Linked DNA regions of Tamandua tetradactyla. The protein of the gene in region 1 interacts with the protein of each later gene in a pairwise test. Links are inferred from orthologs where the notes say so. Each region holds a gene or a part of one and is shown on either strand. Other genes may lie near its edges.

Evidence for each region. The genes of interacting proteins can lie anywhere in the genome.
Region 2: the proteins of TOP1 (region 1) and BTBD2 interact in a two-hybrid assay, tested with the Homo sapiens proteins (2 studies listed by BioGRID). The link is inferred for Tamandua tetradactyla from reciprocal best matches to the Homo sapiens genes TOP1 and BTBD2.

What each region holds. Positions count from the first base shown.
Region 1 is NC_135327.1:11,132,544-11,143,156, reverse strand, and holds the start of TOP1 (DNA topoisomerase 1), read left to right. Parts: upstream 1-6,090; 5' UTR 6,091-6,360; coding exon 6,361-6,393; intron 6,394-6,713; coding exon 6,714-6,738; intron 6,739-7,107; exon of another isoform or gene 7,108-7,682; intron 7,683-10,613. UniProt on the Homo sapiens protein: Releases the supercoiling and torsional tension of DNA introduced during the DNA replication and transcription by transiently cleaving and rejoining one strand of the DNA duplex.
Region 2 is NC_135337.1:80,945,214-80,955,077, reverse strand, and holds the start of BTBD2 (BTB/POZ domain-containing protein 2), read right to left. Parts: upstream 4,807-9,864; coding exon 4,370-4,806; intron 1-4,369.

The DNA.
Region 1 (10,613 bases):
ACATATCTCTGAAACTCCAAAAAAAGAAGGCAGGGCTAGAGACATCTGTTTGAGAGACTACCTTCAGAAGTCCGTATAGAATCCATAAAGCAATGAAGAGGAAGGTGTGGAGAGAGAAGAGCCCTTAAATTGTGATGGGAGATGAGGAGGAGGCAGAGAAGTGGCATTTGGAGAGGTAGGAGAAAGAACGGTCACTAGAGTCAAATGGAAAGAGACCACAGAATGGGCACAGTCACCATCGAGTACTGTGGGGTGGTGGAGGAGAATGAGGATACTCAGTTTGGAAACTAGGAAGTCTCTGATTGGAATGGAAGCCAGATCAACAGTGTTTTGAAGGATGGGGAATAAAGCAGAAGGCGTAGCAAGTACAGACTATTCTTTTCAAATGTCTTAGACAAGAGGGAGGAGAACAGTGACCTCAGGGCAACTTGGGAGCAAGTTTGGGGGGTTAAGAGAGGGGGTTCCAAGAAAATTGACTGATAGCTACATAGACAGATAGACAGATGGATAGGCAGAATGATACATCAAATGTGGCAAAATGTTAAAATTCATGGATCTGGGTGTTGGGGGTTCTCTGTGTGGGTTTCATATTTTTTGTAACTGTCTATGAGTTTGAAATTACTTCAAAATAAAATGTCTAAGGGGAGGGAAAAAAAGATACACACACACACAAAGAGAGACAGGGCTCTGTAGTCAGGCTGCTTTACCACTCAGTAGCTGTGTGACTTTGGACAAATTAATTTAATTAGCCTTCCTAAACCTCAGTTTCCTTGTCAGTAAAATGGTGTAACCAGCAGTACCTGATTCATATGTGAAAATTAAATGAGATAACATGCATGAGGCCCTCACCACAGGGCAGAGCACATGGTAAGTAAGTAAAAAATTAATGTGAGCTATTATCTCTAACAGGATCAAGGGGGAAAATTGAAAGAGGAAGTAAGTGGAGAAGTTCCCCATGCAGGAGGGAGAGAAGATGCTTGAGGAAGCCAGGGTCTGGGGAGGTGAAAGGGATGGTATTGAGGATTTAGGGGGCTTAGTGAGAGGGGTGGGAAGCCAGATCTTTTAAAACCTGATCTTGGCTAAGCTGTCACTTGCTGGTTATTGGGTGAAGCTGCCGCTTCTGTTGCATTTTCCTGGGAAGTCATGCTGAATCAGCTTAGAGTTTCTCTCCTAGAATTTTCCAGTGTTTCTTGAAGCCTGGTTCCCACTTCTCTGGCTCCTCCTGCCCACTGGTTCAGCTTTCCAACAGGTAGAGGTAGCTGGACCTGAGTAGCAGCAGGATATCCCAGCAACACACCCTGTTAGGGGGAGATTCAGAGAGAGCTGCTGCCATAAACTTACCTTAGGCTTTACCCAAGGCATGGGCCAAAATCCTGCTGTCTCATTCAGAGTCCTCACCTTAGCATTCATTCCAAAGCAGTTGACAATGCTCCTGAGATACCTGCAATGGCCTCATTGCCTATCTCCAATGTCAGCTCTGCCAAACTGCCCTCATTTTGTCATATTTCTGGCTGCAACTGGAATTGCAAGCCTGAGTCTCCTTTCTGGAGTATCAAGGAAGTACTTTTCTGAGTATGTCTAAATCTTGAAAGGGCACTGGGTCCTCAGACAAGGCAATATGACCAGAGAGAACTGCTAGAAGATGCTGCTCTCAAAAGGATCGACAAAGCTGAGAAGGAGCAGGCATCCATGGGTTAAAATGTCAGGAGGGGGGATGCATGGTTGGTTCAGTGGTGGAATGCTTGCCTGTCATGTGGGAGACCTGGGTTTGATTCCCCGCCCATGGACTTCACCCCCTCAAACGAAAAATGCCAGGATGAGTATCCAAGGGTCATAACCTGAGGGGTCCAGAGGGATATCAGAGGCCTTGAGATTGCCCAGGAAGCAAATGTAGATTAGTACTCTATGTTAGAGCTCTTGATCTTAAGTGACCCATCAGAGCTGAATAGAGCAAAATACCATTGGGACTTTCTCTCCATCTCTTCTTATTTTGCATATCTATGTCTGTCTGTCTCTCTCTCTCTCTCTCTCTCTTTCAGCTTTCTCTGCTTCTCTGGTCCTATTGGCAGAAAATACCACTAGGGACAGCTCCCTAATCTACATGATAAAGATCCATCCACAAGAAGCAACCAAATCCCTTCTTCCTAATTCTGAAGTCCCAAGGAAGTGCATCTATAGGGTCCAGTTTGGATCAACTGCCCATCCTGGTCCACACAACAGTCAGAAGGCAAGCAGCACATTATACATTTCACTCTATAACCATGCATTGGGGAAGGTGTGCAGAAGGATTGGTCCCTGAAAAGCAGGAGGTATTCAGACAACCCTATAGGTGTTCAGTACTGGTAGCCAAGAGTTGGGCCAGCCCAGGTGAGTCAGAGGCAAATGAGTGAGGGCAGAATCTTGGGCAACCACTTAGATCAGGATGTCCCAAGACAGTCATTCCAAAGAGCCCAAGTCTCAAGAGGTAGTCTGGAAGAAAACAGTTTCTGTGTTTAAATGCATTTCGAAGACGTGCATGCATGTGTTAGCATATCAAAGGCTGCAAGAAGTCCCGTGGAAAATAAACCTGTTTAACTTTAAAACATAACAATGTATACATTTGTAGGAGGAGCTCTTCTTCTGGAGGAATATGTACTAGGTGTAGTCCACCTTTCACAGTGCATACTTTGGGAAAAAGACCTACAAAATCAGCTCTCATTTGCCTTTTTATGGGGCCTGGGACAGTCCACAAGTGAGCAGATTGATTTAAAGCAGCGTTTCCAGAGCTTGATTTGCTTGCCTATGACCTTTGTCATAGACCTAAGCTGTATCTCATTTGTCGTATCTGTGCTATTCCTTGATATTTTTATTTTAGTCAATCAACCAACTTTTTTTTTTCAAGCCTCATCCTTACATCCTTAAAATCATGGATTTGACGTGGTGGTTAAATGTCTTGTTTTCTCATATACATTGAAATATATCCATAACTATTAAAACAAAAATGTTTACCTATGTGTCACTATAATCTTCTCAAATACTAGATGGGTCACATTGTGGGGAAGTTTCAGGAGGGAGAGAGGCCACATGGGCCTGGGTAAGCCAGTGAACCCAGGCATTCGTTTTCTGCCCAGAGACCTCTGAACACTGCCAGTCACTCATGCTGGCTGTGTTAGATTCAGTTGTCAACTTGGCCAGGTGAAGGTGCCTAGTTCCATTGCTGTGGACATGAGCCAATGGTACATGAACCTCATCTGTTGCTCATTACATCTGCAGTCGGCTAGGAGGGGTGCCTGCTGTAATGAATGAGGTTTGACTTAATTGGCTGGTGCTTAAATGAGAGCGCTCAACATAGCACAGCTCAAGCAGCTCAGCATACCTCATCTCGGCACTTGCAGCTCAGCCCAGGCCTTTGGAGATGCAGAAAGAAATCACTCCGGGGAAAGTTGTTGGGACCCAGAGGCCTGGAGAGAAGCCAGCAGAGATCGCCTTGTGCCTTCCCATGTAAGAAAGAACCTCAGTCGAAAGTTAGATGCCTTTCCTCTGAAGAACTATACATTAACTAAATAAATCCCCTTTTATTAAAAGCCAATCCGTCTCTGGTGTGTTGCATTCTGGCAGGTAGCAAACTAGAACGCTGGCAGAGAAGCTCAGTCTGTGACAAGACTGCCTACAAACCTGTATGTTTGTGCATGGGGCACATGCTTGATAGGTTGCTCTGAAGTTTGCACTCTGTTTTCAGGCCCACTGGGGCAAATGCCCATTGGTAGACAAACGCAGATTCTCCTTGAGGACTTGAGAACGGAAGCAGGGCTGCAGTGGTAGTCCTGCTATCCCCAAAGGCAATCATCAAATTATACTGGTTTAACTGCAGCAAGCGGGTAGGGCCAGATTCTCACCTGGTGGCCTGGGATTGCTTCTGAGGCCTGGAAGATTATAAGGACAGGCACCAGAAGCAAGGTAAAACAGGCTCTGGCAGCTTGCTTCAGAAAGAGAGCATGGCTTTGAAGTCAAACAGACCAGAGTCTGAACCTAAGACTCACCACTTACAAGCCGTGTGTTCTCAAACAACTACTTTTTCAATAGCTTATTAGATTCCTACCATTAACACCATTGTAAAGATGAGGAAAATGGGACTCAGAGAATTTAAACAACTTGTACAAGGATACATAGCTAATAAGAGGCAAAGCAAAATTCAAACCTAGGTTGCTTTGACTTCCAAGGGTGTGCTTCTAACCAATGCATTATCCTGCTTTCACCCACTTGTTGATTGCGCACCTCTTTTGTAGGAGGGCCTGTGACTGGGTGCTGGGGATCCAACACCAAACAACATGAACAAGGTTCTTACCTTCACAGAGCTTCCATTCTACTGGGACAAAGACTAATTACCTGATTAGTAGCTTAATGACAATTGTGGTAAGTGCTCTATGAAGGGCACTTAACCTGGGAGTGAGGGGGGGCGGTCTTAGAAAGCTTCTTTGGGAAAGTTGTATTGAACTTTGAAGCATTCATAAGAATTAACTTCACAGGCAGGCAACAGTGGCTCAGTGGCAGAGCTCTCCCCTGCCACGCCGGAGACCTGGGTTCAATTCCCAGAGCCTGTCCATGACAAAAAAAAAAACAAAAAAAAAACTAACCTCCAAGTGTTTACCACTAGATGTGATAGAGATGATTTTACAGTCCAAGGGTGAACATTTTTCATATTTATTTTTAAATGAATTTCATAGATATTACTTAGGATGAAGCCAAACAAAAAAAGGGGGGTGAATTAAAATATTAAGTAATAATAGTGGAAGTGGTAATAGATATGGCAAAATTTATAGAGATCATACTTGAGTTAAGCTGGCTAAGCAAGGTCTTAAGAATGGTTACTTAAGGATTTAGGACATCATACTCTGAGTGATGGGAAGTGTGGTGGAAGTGAGGTCATGATTAGATCTTTGTGTTGGAAGAACTACTTTGGCAAGCGTTGCCGAGCGGTTTGTGGACCAAAAAGTTAAGCAGGGATCCTTATTAGTATTTTTAATAATCCATGAAAGAGGTAAGTTAGACTTGGACAGGCATGTGGGCAGGGGGCAGGAGAGAAGTAGACGGAACAAAGGGATGCAATGCGCAGGACTAATAAGAAATGAGAGAGAGGAATACGTCCAGGGTGGGGCTTCCCTAACTGGGTGGAGGAGGCGGATGAGTTTAGCCCAGAGAAGCTCATGAGGCATCTAAGTATAGATGTCAGGTAGGCGATTGTAGGTCACTTATCTCTGAGACACTTTGACTTTTTAAAGACAAACTTAGAGAGCTATTACTAAACTTCAGAACAGAGTACATAGTAGATGTCCCCACAAATTTCCCTAAATCACTCCACTCCATTTCCAACAGCATACTGGGGACAAAGCGGTGGACAGCGCCCGGGTGTTTCCACTCCCTTTGGTACCAGGCCCCCTTCCTTAGCACAATTCCTGGCTCAAAGTAGATGCTCGTTACCTAATTGCAGAACGAAAGAATGAAATTAGACCCTCTGTAGCCCAGGGCTCCATGTACTCAGCTGGAAACTGGGACTAACCCAGACTCTCGGTTGTTGAAAAAGTAAAATAATTTTCTTAAGGGGGTGTGAAAAAATCCTTAAGTAGAATGGTTTCGACAAAGACTGCGAAGGGGTAGCTGCCGCCAAGCGGTCTCAGTGCCAGGTCAGCAAGCGAGGACGCACCGGTGTGTGCTCTGGAACCCGCGCCGCCAGCATCGAGTTTCCTCAGTTCACGGGAGATGCTGATGATCCACCCGGGCCTTGCTCGGTCCCGCCGCGGCCTTTAAAGGCCCACCACGTGTCCGCGCCGCGGGCCTGGGTCTGGAGGCGGTGTCCCCGCAGCGCGTGCGCACTCTCTAGCAGAGCCATCCTGGGTTCCGAGAAAAGGCTCGTGGACAGGACCGGAAGGTTGCTCTTGGTGGGCGGCGGTGGGAGGAGCCGGCTCCTTATGCAAATCACAGCGCCGTGCGAGGGCTAGGGGCGTGGCCTGAGATGCAAAGCCGGGTTCTCCTAGCGAACCGTGAGGGGGCGGGTCCCGCAACCCTCGGCCTTTTTCCGCGAGTCTCTGACGTCGCCGGCGTCCCGTTTAAAAGCGGCCGCGCAGGCGCAGTGAGTCGAAATGCGAACTTAGGCTGTTACACAACTGCTGGGGTCTGCTTTCGCCGCCCGCCCGGCAGTCAGTCACCGTCGCTGCCACTCTTGCCGCCTCAGCCGCTCCCGGAATCTTAGGGCCGCTGCTGTCGCGGCTTATCCGCGGCTTCGGGAGCCTCCGGGAGCCCTCGTCCCCTGCAGAGCCCGGTCCCGACCGTCTGCGTCTCCTTCGCGCCCCCTCGCCGCCCGCCGCACTCGCCGCTCCGGCCGACATGAGCGGGGACCATCTCCACAACGATTCCCAGGTATGCCCCGCCCGGCCCTTCCCGGCGCCCAATCACCGCCCCGGCCCTCCCGCGACCCCCGGCGCAGGCCCCGGCCCGGCTGCTTTGACAGGCCGGAGTTCCCGGCGAGGAGCCGCCCGCCAGGGCAGATCGGCTCGCTAGGCCGTGGACCAAGGCCACGAAGTTATAGTTTGTGGGGGGTTCAGCTGCCCTTATAGGCGGTTCCCGGGGTCCCCTCATTCCAGTGGGCGCAGGGTGGACTAGGCCCCCGGTCGCGCGCGCACACCTCCCGGGGGGCTAAATTGCCTGTTGTTTTATATTCCCTCCTTTTCTTTCTCCAGATCGAAGCGGATTTCCGATTGAATGGTGAGTGTGTCCCCGGCCCCTCGACCCCGCCCCGACCTCGGGCCCCCCAGCAGCCGGCCACCCACCCGGCGCCCGGCCGGAGCCCGGCAGAGGACAGACATGGCGCCCCAGAGACTAAGTCCCGGCTCCTCGCTTACCGGCCCCATTGTTCCCATCGGGCCGCCTCTGGATCCCCTTTCCGGGTACCCTAGCCCCCCCAGATCGCGGCCCTCCCCAGAGGGGGCAACCGAGACCCCGCATCGCCCGCCGCCGGGTCTCGGGGAACCTTCCCGAGCCCGGATTCCTCCCGGGAAAGTCGCCTTGTCGACGGTCGGGACTTAGTCTCTGCGCCATTTTCTTTTTCTCTCTCCTCTCCTTTCTGTGCCTGTGTCTTTCTCTCCCTCCCTCGGCTCCTTCCTTGAGCTGTCCAGAAAGGGCTTTCTGCAGAGCAAAGCAGTAGAAATCACAAAGCTCACCCGGGAAGGAAGGGTGGGAGATTGAATTACCATTATTTTTTCCAAATGGAACTTTATTTTGGGGGTTATTCCCTTTCTGCTTCTGGTTTGCTTCCTCTTCTGCTTCCAGAATGAAAGATTCCTTTCGTCAACTGTGTTGTTCTTTTGGTAAGATGTTTATGATAGGAATTATGGCTCTAAAACTAAAGCTGCTCTTTGTGGAGTTCTTCATAATTCCACACTGCTTTTTCCAAGTTCTGTTCTTTGCAAAGATGGTAGTACCTCCCTTACCCTTCAGAAAGTTTGCAGATTTTCTGTGAACCATCCATGTAAATGTTGGACTCTGGCATGTTGATTTCTTAAAGATTAAGGCATTAATGCCTAGAACTTTTTCACTGTGGCAGGTTTCTCAAAGCAGTGTTTCTCAGAAGCCCAGTTAATGTAGTTGCCATGAAGAAAGGTTGAGCATCCCATCTAACCTAGTATATTGGCCTTTTTTGGAGGGGAGGCCTGTGGAGAGGGGAAGAAAAAGAAGATTTTAATTATTGAAACAGAAAGTGGCCAGCCCCCACCCCTGCTTCCTATTCATTCCTTTTCAGAAGCCGCTGTTTTTCCGGAGGCTAGCCAGTGTTTCCCAGATCTTTCTGTTTTTGAACTCTTTTCAACCAAGTCAAGACATTTATTTGCATATTTCTACTGTCCTTACTCAGTAAAGACTAACTCCCCAACTCTGCCCCCAGTTGAAAGCTCACCCCTGTAGACTTTCCAACAATTCTGTTGAAGGAGAAGGTACCCCATGTAATGTGCTGGGAATTCCTACTAATTGTGTTGGTATGTAATCCTGCTCACTTGAGTTTGGGTTCTGGGAACTTCTCCGGGGGAGAAGCTGATGAGTAGGTTTTCTGGTGTTGTTATGGACAGTCCTCGGTGTTACCCTACTCTTCTGAGAGTTGTCTTGTGTTCATATTTTGAAGTGGGACACCCAGCAAGAGATGGTGCTCTCTAGGGAGAAAATCAGTTCAAGTGTAGCATTTCTTGAGCACTTAACATGTGCCAAGCACTCTGCTTAGTGCTAAAGTTGAACTTGCAGAGCACTCCTCTTGCCCTCAAGTAATCCGTTCTGTTGGGGGAGACATGATTTGTTCATTTTAAGGTAACTACTGGGGCAGATTTGGGAGCTTTAGGGGATTTAATTTTGCCTACGGTGGGGAAGTTTCTCAGAGGAGGTGACTTCTGAGCTGGGTCTTGTGCAAGACCAGGTGCTGAGAGAATGGTCGGGTTGGAGTGTTTAACTACCTGTTTAGCCAATGTATCAGGATTTTAAAAGGGGGAAGAGATGAGGCTTCTGCAGTCCAAACAGCCACAAAGAGTATGGATATGTTTGTTTGGGATATGGGGGCAAAGGATGTGGCAGGTGAGAATGTAAGAAGTCTTGTTTGGAGGAAGGTAGGATCTTAACAGAGAAAGAGAATTGTTTGCTTCTTGACTGGGCTGAGTAGGTAATGTATTTAGTAATGAAACAAAGTTTATCCCTTTCTCCTCATGAGTAAGCTAACTACTATGATATTTAAGTAAATTAGACAAAGAAACTATTGAACATGTGAATGATTGTGGGCTGGGTTGCTGGGTAGCTGGTTATCTTTATTGACTTTGTTACAGAGAATGAAGTAAACTGGCTAGAGTTTTTGAATGTGTCTATATACATGTAATAAAAATAACAGCTAGTATTTATTGAACACTTACTGTCTTTCAGGTATGATTCTCAGCTCTTTCCATGCATCATCTAATCTAATTCTCAGAAGGACCTTTATTAGTTAGGTACTATTATCTCCATTTCATGTCAAAGGAAACTGAGGCTTGGGTATGTTTACTAGCTTGCCCAAGAGCAGTGAGTTGTGGATTCCAAAACCCAGGAATCCACATACAGCTTTGCCGCTATGCTATCTATACAAATGATTCTAGCATGAAATTAAAACCTGCCTGTCTCTACTTTCTTAGCAGAGCTGAAAAGAGAGAGAGGGAAGGATTTGATAGTTTATCATTTTCTTAGTTTTTATCTAATTTTGCGCCTTCAAGAGAAAAGCACTTTTTCTGAATCTGCATGTGTAAGGTTCTTGATATGGAAATAATTATCTTTGTGGATTTTGTCTAGAAGAAAGATGTGGTGCTAGTAACTTTGTGCTTACTCTATCAAGTAACACACTGGTAACTAGTGATTGATTTGTGCAGCTTTAAAAGATAGTTTTTAAAAAATAAAAATCAGTGCTTACTTATGTTCAGACATATCATTATTAATCTTTGTATTAACAGGAGTTTGCTTAAGCATTATTTTAAGAGGGAAAGATCATGTATTAAAATTAAACATCCCTTATCTTGCTTGCTCTTATCCCCTAAAATCTAAAAGATTTTTCCCCCTTTTGAGTCCCATAGTTTAAACTCTTGCAGTTAGTGTGGGATTTAGAATATTATGACACATACTCAACTGTTGGAAAAATCTGTTATTTGTGAACTGTATTCCTAACTTGAAATATTTACTGAACTGGAAGTTTGAGAAGCAGGAACCATAACCTCTCTTTCATATCTAGGGGAAAATACTTTTTCTAAGTGTTGGTAGCACTATGTAGTGTGTCCGAGGGCACTACTGCAGTAAGTACACACTGCCTAGACTGGAGAGTTGGTAGTGATAACATCAGGTTGGGGTGTTAGTGATCCTTTTGCTGTTTTAAGCACTTGAAGTTTTTGCTCATCTACTCTGAAGTGTGGGTTTTGTTGTTTTTTTCCTACTGTTGATCAGTAATTAATGTTGATTCACTTTGCATGAGCAAAATAACTTGACTTCAGCATTGATAATTCTAAGAAATGTTATGGTCATGGTTTGACATCGTCTTGTGTTGATTTTGGTCAGCTTAACAGATTCGAATTTGATGGGGGGAATTGAATATGAATTGTTTCTGCTGCTAACAGATAGTTGTATTTATGTGCTTTTGGATACTGATTAGGGTGGAGGGTGAGAAGGATGATGTGGCTTTCTGAAATGTCCTGTCATTTAAAACTGAAGCGTGATAGCACCTCCAAATGAAATCTGGCAAATTCTTTAGACTCGATCCGGAAACACTTAAGCATTGGGCTCTAGTGTTGTCTTTCCACTACAGCCAGCTATTGGGGGCCTTTTCAGAATTAGCTGTTGAAGAATCTTGATACTACATTTTGAAATGAAATTGAGTTACTTGTCAGCATGTGCTTTTTAAATGAACCAGCATAACATATCTCACAAATTTTAGACTACAGTGTTCCTGGTAAAACAAGAAAAGCCAGGATCTACTAAAGGAATCAGGAATGCCTCATAGTTTGCAGAGTGAAAGCTAGATAACCTAAGCTCGCTGGCCTTACCCCAGGTAAGAAGATAAAGTGGAGAATAGGACCCAGGTCGGTCCCCAAATC
Region 2 (9,864 bases), on another chromosome or scaffold:
CAAGGCGATGCTTTCTCCCTGAGGACTGTTGGGTTCCGGGCTGCTGGGCGTCCCTAGTGCTTGGCATTTCCGTCACCTAGTAATGGTCATGGCAGCATCCTCCCTCTCTCTTCCAGATTCAGCCAACTTCTAGCTTGCAGCTAATCCCTGTGGCTTCTCTTTCTGTCTCCAATTTCCATTCCTGATGAGGACTTCGGCTTAGTGGATTAAGGCCACCCTCATTCAGTGTGAGCACCTTAAGCAATAACATCTTCAAGGGTCCAACTTACAAATGGATTCACAGGACCAGTAGTTGAGTAGTTGAGAACATGTCTCTTGTGGGGACATGATTCAATTCCCAATAACAGGACAGGTGAAAAAACTGAAATGTAGACTGTAAGCCTTAGACTGATGTTAAATTTCTTGAATTTGATAACTGCACTTCAGTGGTTTCACTAGTGAATAGCCTCGGTCTTAAGAAATGTACATGGAATCATTAAGTGTTCAAGGAGCATCATGTGTACAACCTCAGACAGCTACCTAGATGGACTGACAGGCAGGTGGACAGATAGATTCAGCAAATATGGCAAAATGTTAACACTGGTGGATCTAGGTATTTGGGCAGGGAGAGGGTACTTTGGAGTTGACTACGAGGGTTGCACATTTTTTTTAAGTGTCCTGTACGTTTGAAAGTATTTCAAAATAAAACATTAAAAAGAAAGGAAGTGAAAAAACCACCATAGGAGAAAATATCTGGAAACCCCCAATCTAATAAGGACTTAACATCCAGAACATATAAAGAACCCCTACAACTCAACAACAAAGACAAACAACCTAATTAAACAATGGGACAAGGAACTGATTGCCATTTCTCCAACAAAGATCTACAAATGGCCAAAAAAAAAAGCACATGAACAGATAGATGCTCACCTCATTAGCCATCAGGGAAAGGCGAACTAAAACCATGAGCTACCTCACCCCAGAAGCATGGCTCCTATCAAAGAACCCTGAAAATGTAAAATGGTGGCTCCGCTGTGGAAAATAATTAGCAGATTCTCATAAAGAACTACCATATATATATATATATAATTACAGAATGAAGATATACTGCCCATCCAAGGTATATGCCCCACAGAGCTGAAAGCAGGGACTCAGATATTTCTACCCCAACATCTATCGCTGCATGATTCACAATGACCAAAAAGTGGAAGCAACCCAAGGGTCCATCAACAGGTAGTTGGAGAAACAAAATACGGTTCATCCAGACAATGGCACACTGTCCAGCTGTAAAAAGAAGTGAAGGGCTGGTCCACGCTACTACAACACGGATGAATCTTGAAGATATTGTATTAAGTGAAATGAGCCAGACACAAAAGGACAAATAGTGTGTAATTTCTCATATGAAATAACTAGAAAGGCAAAGTAATGGAGACAGAGAAGGGCCCACTTACAGGTTCCAGGGCTTGTGGCAGGGGCTCCATTCAATCCACAATGTGGAGGTAACTGTGCCCTGCTCCTCCCATCCTGGCCTGGGGCACCTGACACCCACATGACATTACTGGTGACCTGACCTTGACCCCTGGATGGACCCGCTCAGCTTTCCCACGTTCAAGTTACCATTGTCCCCTGTCTGCTCTGCTCTCCTGAAGCCAGTGCCCACACCCAGCCCAGTCCAGCCAGAGTTCACCTCGGGCTGGTGCGTCTCTACACCTTACACTTGGGATTCTCCTGCAATGAAAGGCCGTCACTTTCTCTGGAGTGGACTCCCCAGGATTTACTTTCTTCTTCAGGTCAACCAGCGTTAAGCCTGTCTGCGGCCTTGCATGTGCTGCCAGGGCCTTTAATCTCCAGCTAACCCAGGTGTCCCATCCGCCCCATCTCACAGGTATAAACACTGAGGCCCAGTGGGTACCCGCCCAGGCCACGCAGCCACTCCTGGCCCAGCAATGGCCTGCGCCACCCACGCAGGTAAAGTGTCAAGAGCATGAGTGGAATTACAACCTGAGGCCTGGAAAGAAAGGAGAAGTGCGAGCGTACAGTCGGGGCTCCAGTGGCAGGGCCTCTGGGCGCTTCTGGGGGGCGGCAGACACGTCCAACACGCGAGCTCAGGGCAAGTCGCTGCAGCTACTATTGCCAGAGAGGACAGGCTTCACCGACATGGCATTTAGATACTCACCCCCACCCCATCTTAAACCAAAACAAACCTGCAGCCCCGGTGCCCAGCTTGCCCCAGGACCATGGCCTTCAAGCCCTATATGTGGGTACACCTCACGGCCTGCCCCCCATCCCCAGGAAGCATTACAACTCTGACGCCTCTGCCCTGCCCAGCACTGAAGGACCCACCCGTCCCTGTGCCCTGAGACCCCACTTTCCAGGAGGCCCCTCACTGGCATTACTGAGAAATGGTTCCAGGGCCCCCCTTCTCCAGTCACTTGCTCAACTCATGGAGCCCCACATGCTGCAAACCCCAGATCACACCTGCTCCGGGCGCAACGCCACTTTCCCAACCCAAATGCTGATACATCACCCCGCCAGGGATATCAGACCCCCCTAGCACCACGTGCCCCAGGGAACACTTAACCCCCACCCCAGCTTGTCCTTGCCTGCACACACTTAAGTCAGAAGTCAGGAGACCCCAACATTACAGCCCACCGCCCCCATTCCCCACTCTCCCTCATCTGCCAAGCCACTTTCTCAGGGAGCCATGGGACATACCTTGTCCCAAAGAAAAACTGCACCATTCCACTTCCCCCTTCGGTCAACCTTCCCAAGCACCTCTGAGAGCCCTTGAATACCACTCCACAAGCTGCGCCCCGCCCCCCTGCTCCTCTGGCTCCAGCCTTGCTGTGGCTCCCACTTGCCCAGCTCCTTCCAGTTGGCCTGCACACCCCTGACTCTGAAGCTCCCCATGCTGCCCACTCGGTATCATCTGCTCAGGCGGCTACCCCTGGAGAAGGTCAGACCACTACCACTCCTGGGCAACCTGGAGAGCCCCCCACATGCCCGGAAATCGTCATTAGCTACCCCATCCTCACTTAACCCCCACCTGCCTCCTTCTTTGCTCAGGGGATCCTTGGTCCCCCTTGGTCAACATGCAAACAGACACTCCAGGAACCAGACACACGCCCAAAGTCCAGTACTTCCAAAACTCACAGTGACAGGGTTCCACCAGCCCCTTCCAACAGAAAACCCAGATCCCCAAATGGCCCACTCCACCCCAAAGAGCTGACCGTGAGCTGGGAGGGAGAGGGGGCTGCCAACTTCGCTTTACTTATTCCAGCATGTTTCAAGGGAGGTGATGGGAAAGAAGGAACATCTTTCAAGACCCCATGGTGCCAGGCGGCAACTGAGGAACCCCATGGGCAGGCCGAGGCGCAGGGGGGCAAGGGGTAGAGAGGGTTCACAGGCTGCCCACCCCCAAGGCCTCCCATTCCAAGCTTGGGGGGCAGCAGCAGAGGCCAGGCCCCCTGGATGGAGAAGGAAAGGGCTGGAATGCAGAGACAAGCACGGGCCAAGGGACACGGCCACCAATCCCCAGAGACCCAAACAGGGAGGACCACGACCGGCAGAAAAAGCCAAGAGCAAGCCGGAAACAAAGGGTCTCAAAGACACAAGTTCAGTAAGAGCTGCATGTCACCCAGGATGGGAAGAACCCTGGAGTCTGGGGGCTGCACTCTGCAGGGGGGTGGCAGAGAAGAAGGCTGGAGCAACCCCTCCTTCCAGAAAGGAGGCCTGGGGATGGCCGGTGACTACAGGTCGGGGAGGGGAGGGGAACAGGGGTGCTGCTGCACTTGAGCTCACGGTGCACGGAAGGGGCAGAGGCTTGGAAGAAGAGATCCCTCTAGGGCAAATTGAGGGAAGAAGAGCAAGGTAGAGCCCCCTGAACCAGGAGCAAATGGTGGTGGTTGGGGGTGGTGGTGCCAGGTTCCTGAGCCCAGGCTGAGGAGATGGGCGGGGGGGGGGGTGGGGGGGGTGGGGGGGGGTGGGTTTCTAAGGCCAGAGGTCTGGGTTGGGGGTGGGTGGGTAGCCAAGAGGCTGGGGTAGGGGGGGTGTGCGTGTTCGGACCAGGGGCGCAGTTGGGGGCGGGGCCCACCGATCAATCAAGGGCAGGGGGTCCCGGGTAGGAATCTCCGGTCGTAGATCCCAGGGATCCCTGGAGGGCTCGTGTGATTGGCTTCCAGGGGTCGCTGGGGCAAGCGCCTCTAACGGGAGCGGGGGCCCCGGGGGTCTCGAGGGTGGGGGGAGTGGAAGGTGGGTGGCGGCACCCAGGGTCCCCGGCCGGGGACGGGGGGCCTGCGAGTGCTGGGGCCCAGGGATCCGAATCCGGACGAGCCCGGGCGTGAGGGGCCCGGGGGCCGGGGTCGGCGGGGGTCGGGGACGGCAGGCCCACCTGTGCGCGGGGACGCGCTGCGCGCCGAGGCCCTTGCCCACCAGGAAGTGCACGTCGCAGAGCACGTCGTTGTTGAAGAGGAAGGCGAAGCGTTCCTTCACCGTGGGCTTGGTGGCCTGCCAGTTGTACGCGGGTTCGCGGAGCAGCGCCCCCGGCCCCGCCGCCCCCGGCCCGGGCCCCGCCGCCTCCTCGGCCGCCCGCTCCCCGCAGCCCGCCGCGGCCTGCGCGCTCGGCCCGGGGCCCGGCACGGGGGGCGGCGCGCCGGGGGCGGCGGGGCCCGAGCCGGGGGCGGCGGCGGAGGCGGCGGCGGCGGCGGCAGCTGCGTTGCCGGGGGCCGGGGCGGCCGCGTTGGCGCTGGGCCCCGGGCCGCCCCCCGCGCCGGAGCCGGCGACCCCCGGCGGGCACGACGCGCGCCCGCCGCTCCCACCCGCCGCCATCTTGTCGGTGCGGCGCCGCGGGGGGAGGGCGGGGCCGGGAGGGGGGAGAAGGAGGGGGGAGGGGGAGGGGGCAGGGAAGGGGGAGGGGGAGGGGGAGGGGAGAGGAGGGACCCGGGAGGGGAGAGGGGAGAGGGGAGAGCGGGGAGGGGAGAGAGGAGGGGGAGGGGAGACGAGCGGAAAGGGGAGGGGTGGGGAGGGGAGGGCCGGACCCAGACTCAGATACCTCTCCCGGGCGTCTCGTCCCTAGATCCCTAACTCCAGACCCCGACTCTAAATCTCGACCCCACATTCTAGTCCCTGCACCCCAGGCTCCAAACCCCAGACCTGGATCCCGGACCCAGACCTTAGCCCCAGGTATTCTACTCCTCCAGTGTAGGGGACCCCCTAGTACAGAGGGGGCAAACTGGGGCCCCTGGCGAGGGGGCGTCCGTGCATTGGGGACCCAGCAGGTAGATGGGGCCTCTGCTGGGCCAGGGCTCGCTGGGCAGCGTGGGCAGAGCTGGAAACCCCCCAAACCACTAAGCACAATCAAAGCACGTCCAAGGGCATCAGTGACCAAATGTCAAAAAACTGAGGGACAGGAAGCCAGGAGGGCCCACAACAGGGTCCCTTCATCTGGGGATGCAGCCTGGGAGGTTCAGCCTGGGAGAGGGGATGCAAAAAAAATTTTTTTAATTCTGAAAGTAATATATGAAAAATATTAGCACACTAATATAAGGTATTAATAATAGGGTGCTATATGGAAACTCAGGATTTTATGGACAGCTGTAAACCTACAACTTCTGTAATTAAAACGAAAGAGAAAAATAAAACAAAACTTGGAAAAGATAGGAAATATATAGGAAAATAAAAATTAATATCATCTCTCATCCACCCTCCAAATTTTACCAGTATTAGCACTTTGGCATATTACTTTGTTGTCTTTGTGTCATACAAAGAATAGACCCATCTTATAGAGTTGGAATCTTCATGAATATATGTAATATGATAAGAGGATATCACTCTTTTGGGACAGGAGTGCTGAAAAAGGACAAACAGAAATGAAAACTTTTTTTTTCATCCGAATAAAATCAGGTTCAGAGATAGTACTAGCTCCTGGACAAAGAAAGGAAATCCTCGTTCATCAGTTTTGAGAATCCTTATGCATCCATGTGCATTCACAGTCTAGAGTTGTTTTAGTTAACTCTAATGTTCGTTGATAAGGGGCTCCCCTAGATGTGCCACCTGGACCTTCTTTTTTTTTTGTATGCTGTATCGCAGGGTCATTCGTTATTTTTCCATGTGAGTATCCTATTATTGCAGCACCATTTGTTTTTATGTTTTGGGAGGTGAATGAACTGGGAATCGAACCCGGATCTCCTGCATGGTAGGTGAGAAGTCTACCACTGAACTACCCTTACAACCCACTCCCACCCAGAATTTTAAGCCTCCTGGCTCAACATATGCCACACTGAGCAAACATATGCCACATTGCACCTTCCTTGTCCATGAGTACAGACCCAGTTATGGGGAACTCTTCAGGTAGAGAAGAGTTTAACTGTTGGGAGAGCTCTCCAATTATCAAACATGAGTTTTTGGCAGAAAACCTTTCGGAGGCTCCTTCACTGATGGACTCAAAAAAGTATATTTTTTAAATCGTAACTTCATTCTGCTATTTCCAATGTAATTCTAACATTGTCCCCCTTGGCAAATTATGGCCTGCCCATGAGCCAAATATGGCCCTCCACCTATGGTTGTAAATAAAGTTTTATTGGTACACAGCCACAGCCATTTATTTGCATGTACCTCTGGCTGCCTCTACCATAGAGCAGCAGAGTTCAGTAATTGCAACAGAGAAACACAGAGCCTGCAGCGCAGAAAATGTTTGCTGTCTGGTCCTTTATGGAAAAAGTTTGCAGACCCCTGCTCTATCATATGCCTAATTAAATCCTTAGTTTCTCACTCCAACTATAATTTAATAGATAAGCCATAGAAGTCCCTGAAGATCTTGATTATAACCTGTTTCATTTCTTATTTTCTTAATCTGTTAACATAAAATATAAATACAGACCATGATATTTGTATCAACAGTGCCTAAAATAACTGCTGATTCGAAACTAAGATCCAAGATGACAGTCACTAAAGTGGTGAGAGCTAGTGCCTCGCCCGTTGCTTGGTTCGGGAATGGATGGGCAAACAAACCTTGCCAATGTGATGAAAGTCTGCCAGGGCGGGAAATTCAGGAAGGGGTTCTGTGCATGAGAAGGAGGAGGGGGCCTGAAGGTTAGGGTTAGAGCAGAGGGATGGAAGGAGTCTGGGTCTGCGTAACTGGGCTGAAACACCCTGATCATACCATACCTGCAAGCCGAACTAGCCTGGGGCTTTCTGTTCTATGAGCTAATAAACGTCTTTACAGTTTTAAGCAAGTTAAGTCTGATTTCCTGTAATTCGTGGCTAAAGGCACGTAGTTCATGCACCTGCCCCAGGTGAACACCTCCCACTGATGACAAAGAAGTGGCTTTGTTCTTGCATCTTTGTAATAATCCCAGACACCGTGTGCTTATTTACATAAATAGTCATTGTTTCAGTTAGATACCTGTTACCACACAGCAACCGCCTTGAGACATAGATGTGTCACCTGGGGGGGGGGACATTTCTGGGGTTGTCTGTCAGCTTCCTAAGGATACTGAAACAAATTGCCACCAAGTTAGGGGCTTAAAACAGCACAGATTTATTATGTTACGTTCTGGAGATCAGAAGCAAGGACCTCACTGGGCTACAGCCAAGCTGTCAACAGGACATCCCTTCCTTCTGGGGGTCCTGGAAGAGAATGCCCTTTGCATTTTCTAGCTTCTAGAAGCCACCCGCATTTCTTGGCTTGTGGCCACCCATCACTTTCCAATCTCTGCCTCCGTCATCACGTCCTCTTCTCTGATGCTGACCTTGGAGTCTTTCTCTGAAAAGGACATTTCTGATGACATTGAGCCCCCACCCCCCAGATAATCCAGGAGAATCCCCCATCTCAAGGCCCTTCACTTAATCCCGTCTGCAAAGTTCCTTTTGCCACGGGATGGGACTGTCACAGGTTCCAGGATTAGGACATGGTATCTTTAGGAGCCGTTATTCTCCAACCAGGGGATGAATGGGGCATTCTGGATCTTAACAGAAGTTTCCTTTTCAGAAACATGCAAGTCATTACCTGTAGATTTCACCTCAAAAAAAATAAAATAAGCAAATATCAAACTCAGGTGACCGATATGCTGGTGGTTTTCACACTGACTTATTCGGGAGGCAGTAAACTGATGCTTGCAACCCGGAAATGATTGAAAAATAAGATGAACACATGGCCAATACATGCATGAAATGATACTTAAATCACTGGTTATCAGGAGAAGGGAAATCAAAACCACAATGAGATACCACCTCACACCCCCTCGGACAGCCATTACTTAAAACAAAAAAAAACACAAAAACAAATGCTGGCAAGGATGCAGAGAAATAAGGACTTTTCTATGTTGCTCGTGAGACTTTGAAATGGTGTAGCTGCTGTGGAAATCAATGAGGCAGTTGCTCAGGAAGTTGAACATTGGATTAATGAGTGACCTGGCAATTCCACTTCTAGGGTATATATGCAAAAAAAACCGAAAGCAGTTTTCGGTTAGATATTTGTCCACCAATGCTCATCGCAGTGTTATTCCAAAGAGCCAAGAGGTGGAAGCCACCCAAGGGTCGATCAACAGGTGACGGATAAACATGCCCACAATGGAGTATTATTCAGCTGTAATACTGGATGTTGTGATACATATGACAACATGAATGAGGCTGGAAGACATCATGTTGAGTGCAGTAAGCCAGACACAAAAGGACAGATATAGTATAATCATGCATACATAAAATACTCGGAAGTAACAGATTTCCTAGAGGCAGATAGAAGATTCCAGATTACCAAGGGAACAGGGTGTGGGGCAGGTGGGAGAGAAGAAGCTGTTGCTTAAATGGATGCACAGTTTCTATTTGAAATGATGCAAAAGTTGTGGTGATGGATGATGGGGCAGTAGTGGCACAATATTATAGTTAATACAACTAAAGTACACTTGAGAGTTGCTAAAATTGAAATTTTGAGTGGTACAGATATTAATACCATAAAAAGTAAAATAAATAAATAAACTGGCATGATGAAGGGACCGAAGGTTGGAGATAAGACAGGGATACTAAAATAGCCATGATGGAATGTAGATGTTCAGTCTGGGATGCACACTATAAAATTATTTAGAATGTGTTGTACGTTTGAAATTTTTCATAATAAACTGTCAAGGGGCAGGGAAACTAGACATTTTGCTTTTCATCATCCCATGGGTTGGCTGGGCAGTCCTACTGCTGGTCTAACTGGGACTAAGCTATGCAGCCACGGGTACTTGGGGCGGGCAGCGGGGCCCGGTGGCCCGAGATGGCTCCATTCCTGTACTGGGCAGGCAGTGCTGGCTGCGGCTGGCTGGGAGCTTCCTGCCTCCATTGCGATGTCGGGGAAAAGGCAGATGCTGCAAGACTTCTTGGAGTCTTTTGGGGCCTGGACTACAGAACACGCCCGACCTTTTCCAGCACATTCCATTGGTCAAAGCATGTGCAAACCATTCCTGAGCTCAGGGGGTGGAGAGAGCGATGCCCCTTTGTCAAAATCCCACTGCAAATGGGAGTGCATAGGGCAGGAAGGTTCTGTGGGCATTGTGCAGTCCCGCCCCAAGCCCTTGGGGCTCTCTGTTTAAGTTGTAGAGTTCTGGGGTGCTGGTGGTGCCCTGATTGCCAGTGCTTCCTGCTCATCCAGTGGCGCAAACGATACCCCCAAGAGTCTGCAAACTCTTCATGAAGCTATTGATTAGGGCGAGAGTTCCCATGGTATTGAGATGGTTGGGTGACCTACTGAAGGGACCTGGTGACCATACCGCCGAACTGCCCTCACGTGCCATAGCATCGCACTCAGGACTTGTCATGCACCTGGCATCCTTAAGACAGGCTCATGGACAGACACCTGGGGGCCCTTGGGGGCTCCAAGGCCCCCAGCCCCTGAATCAAGGGCTGATT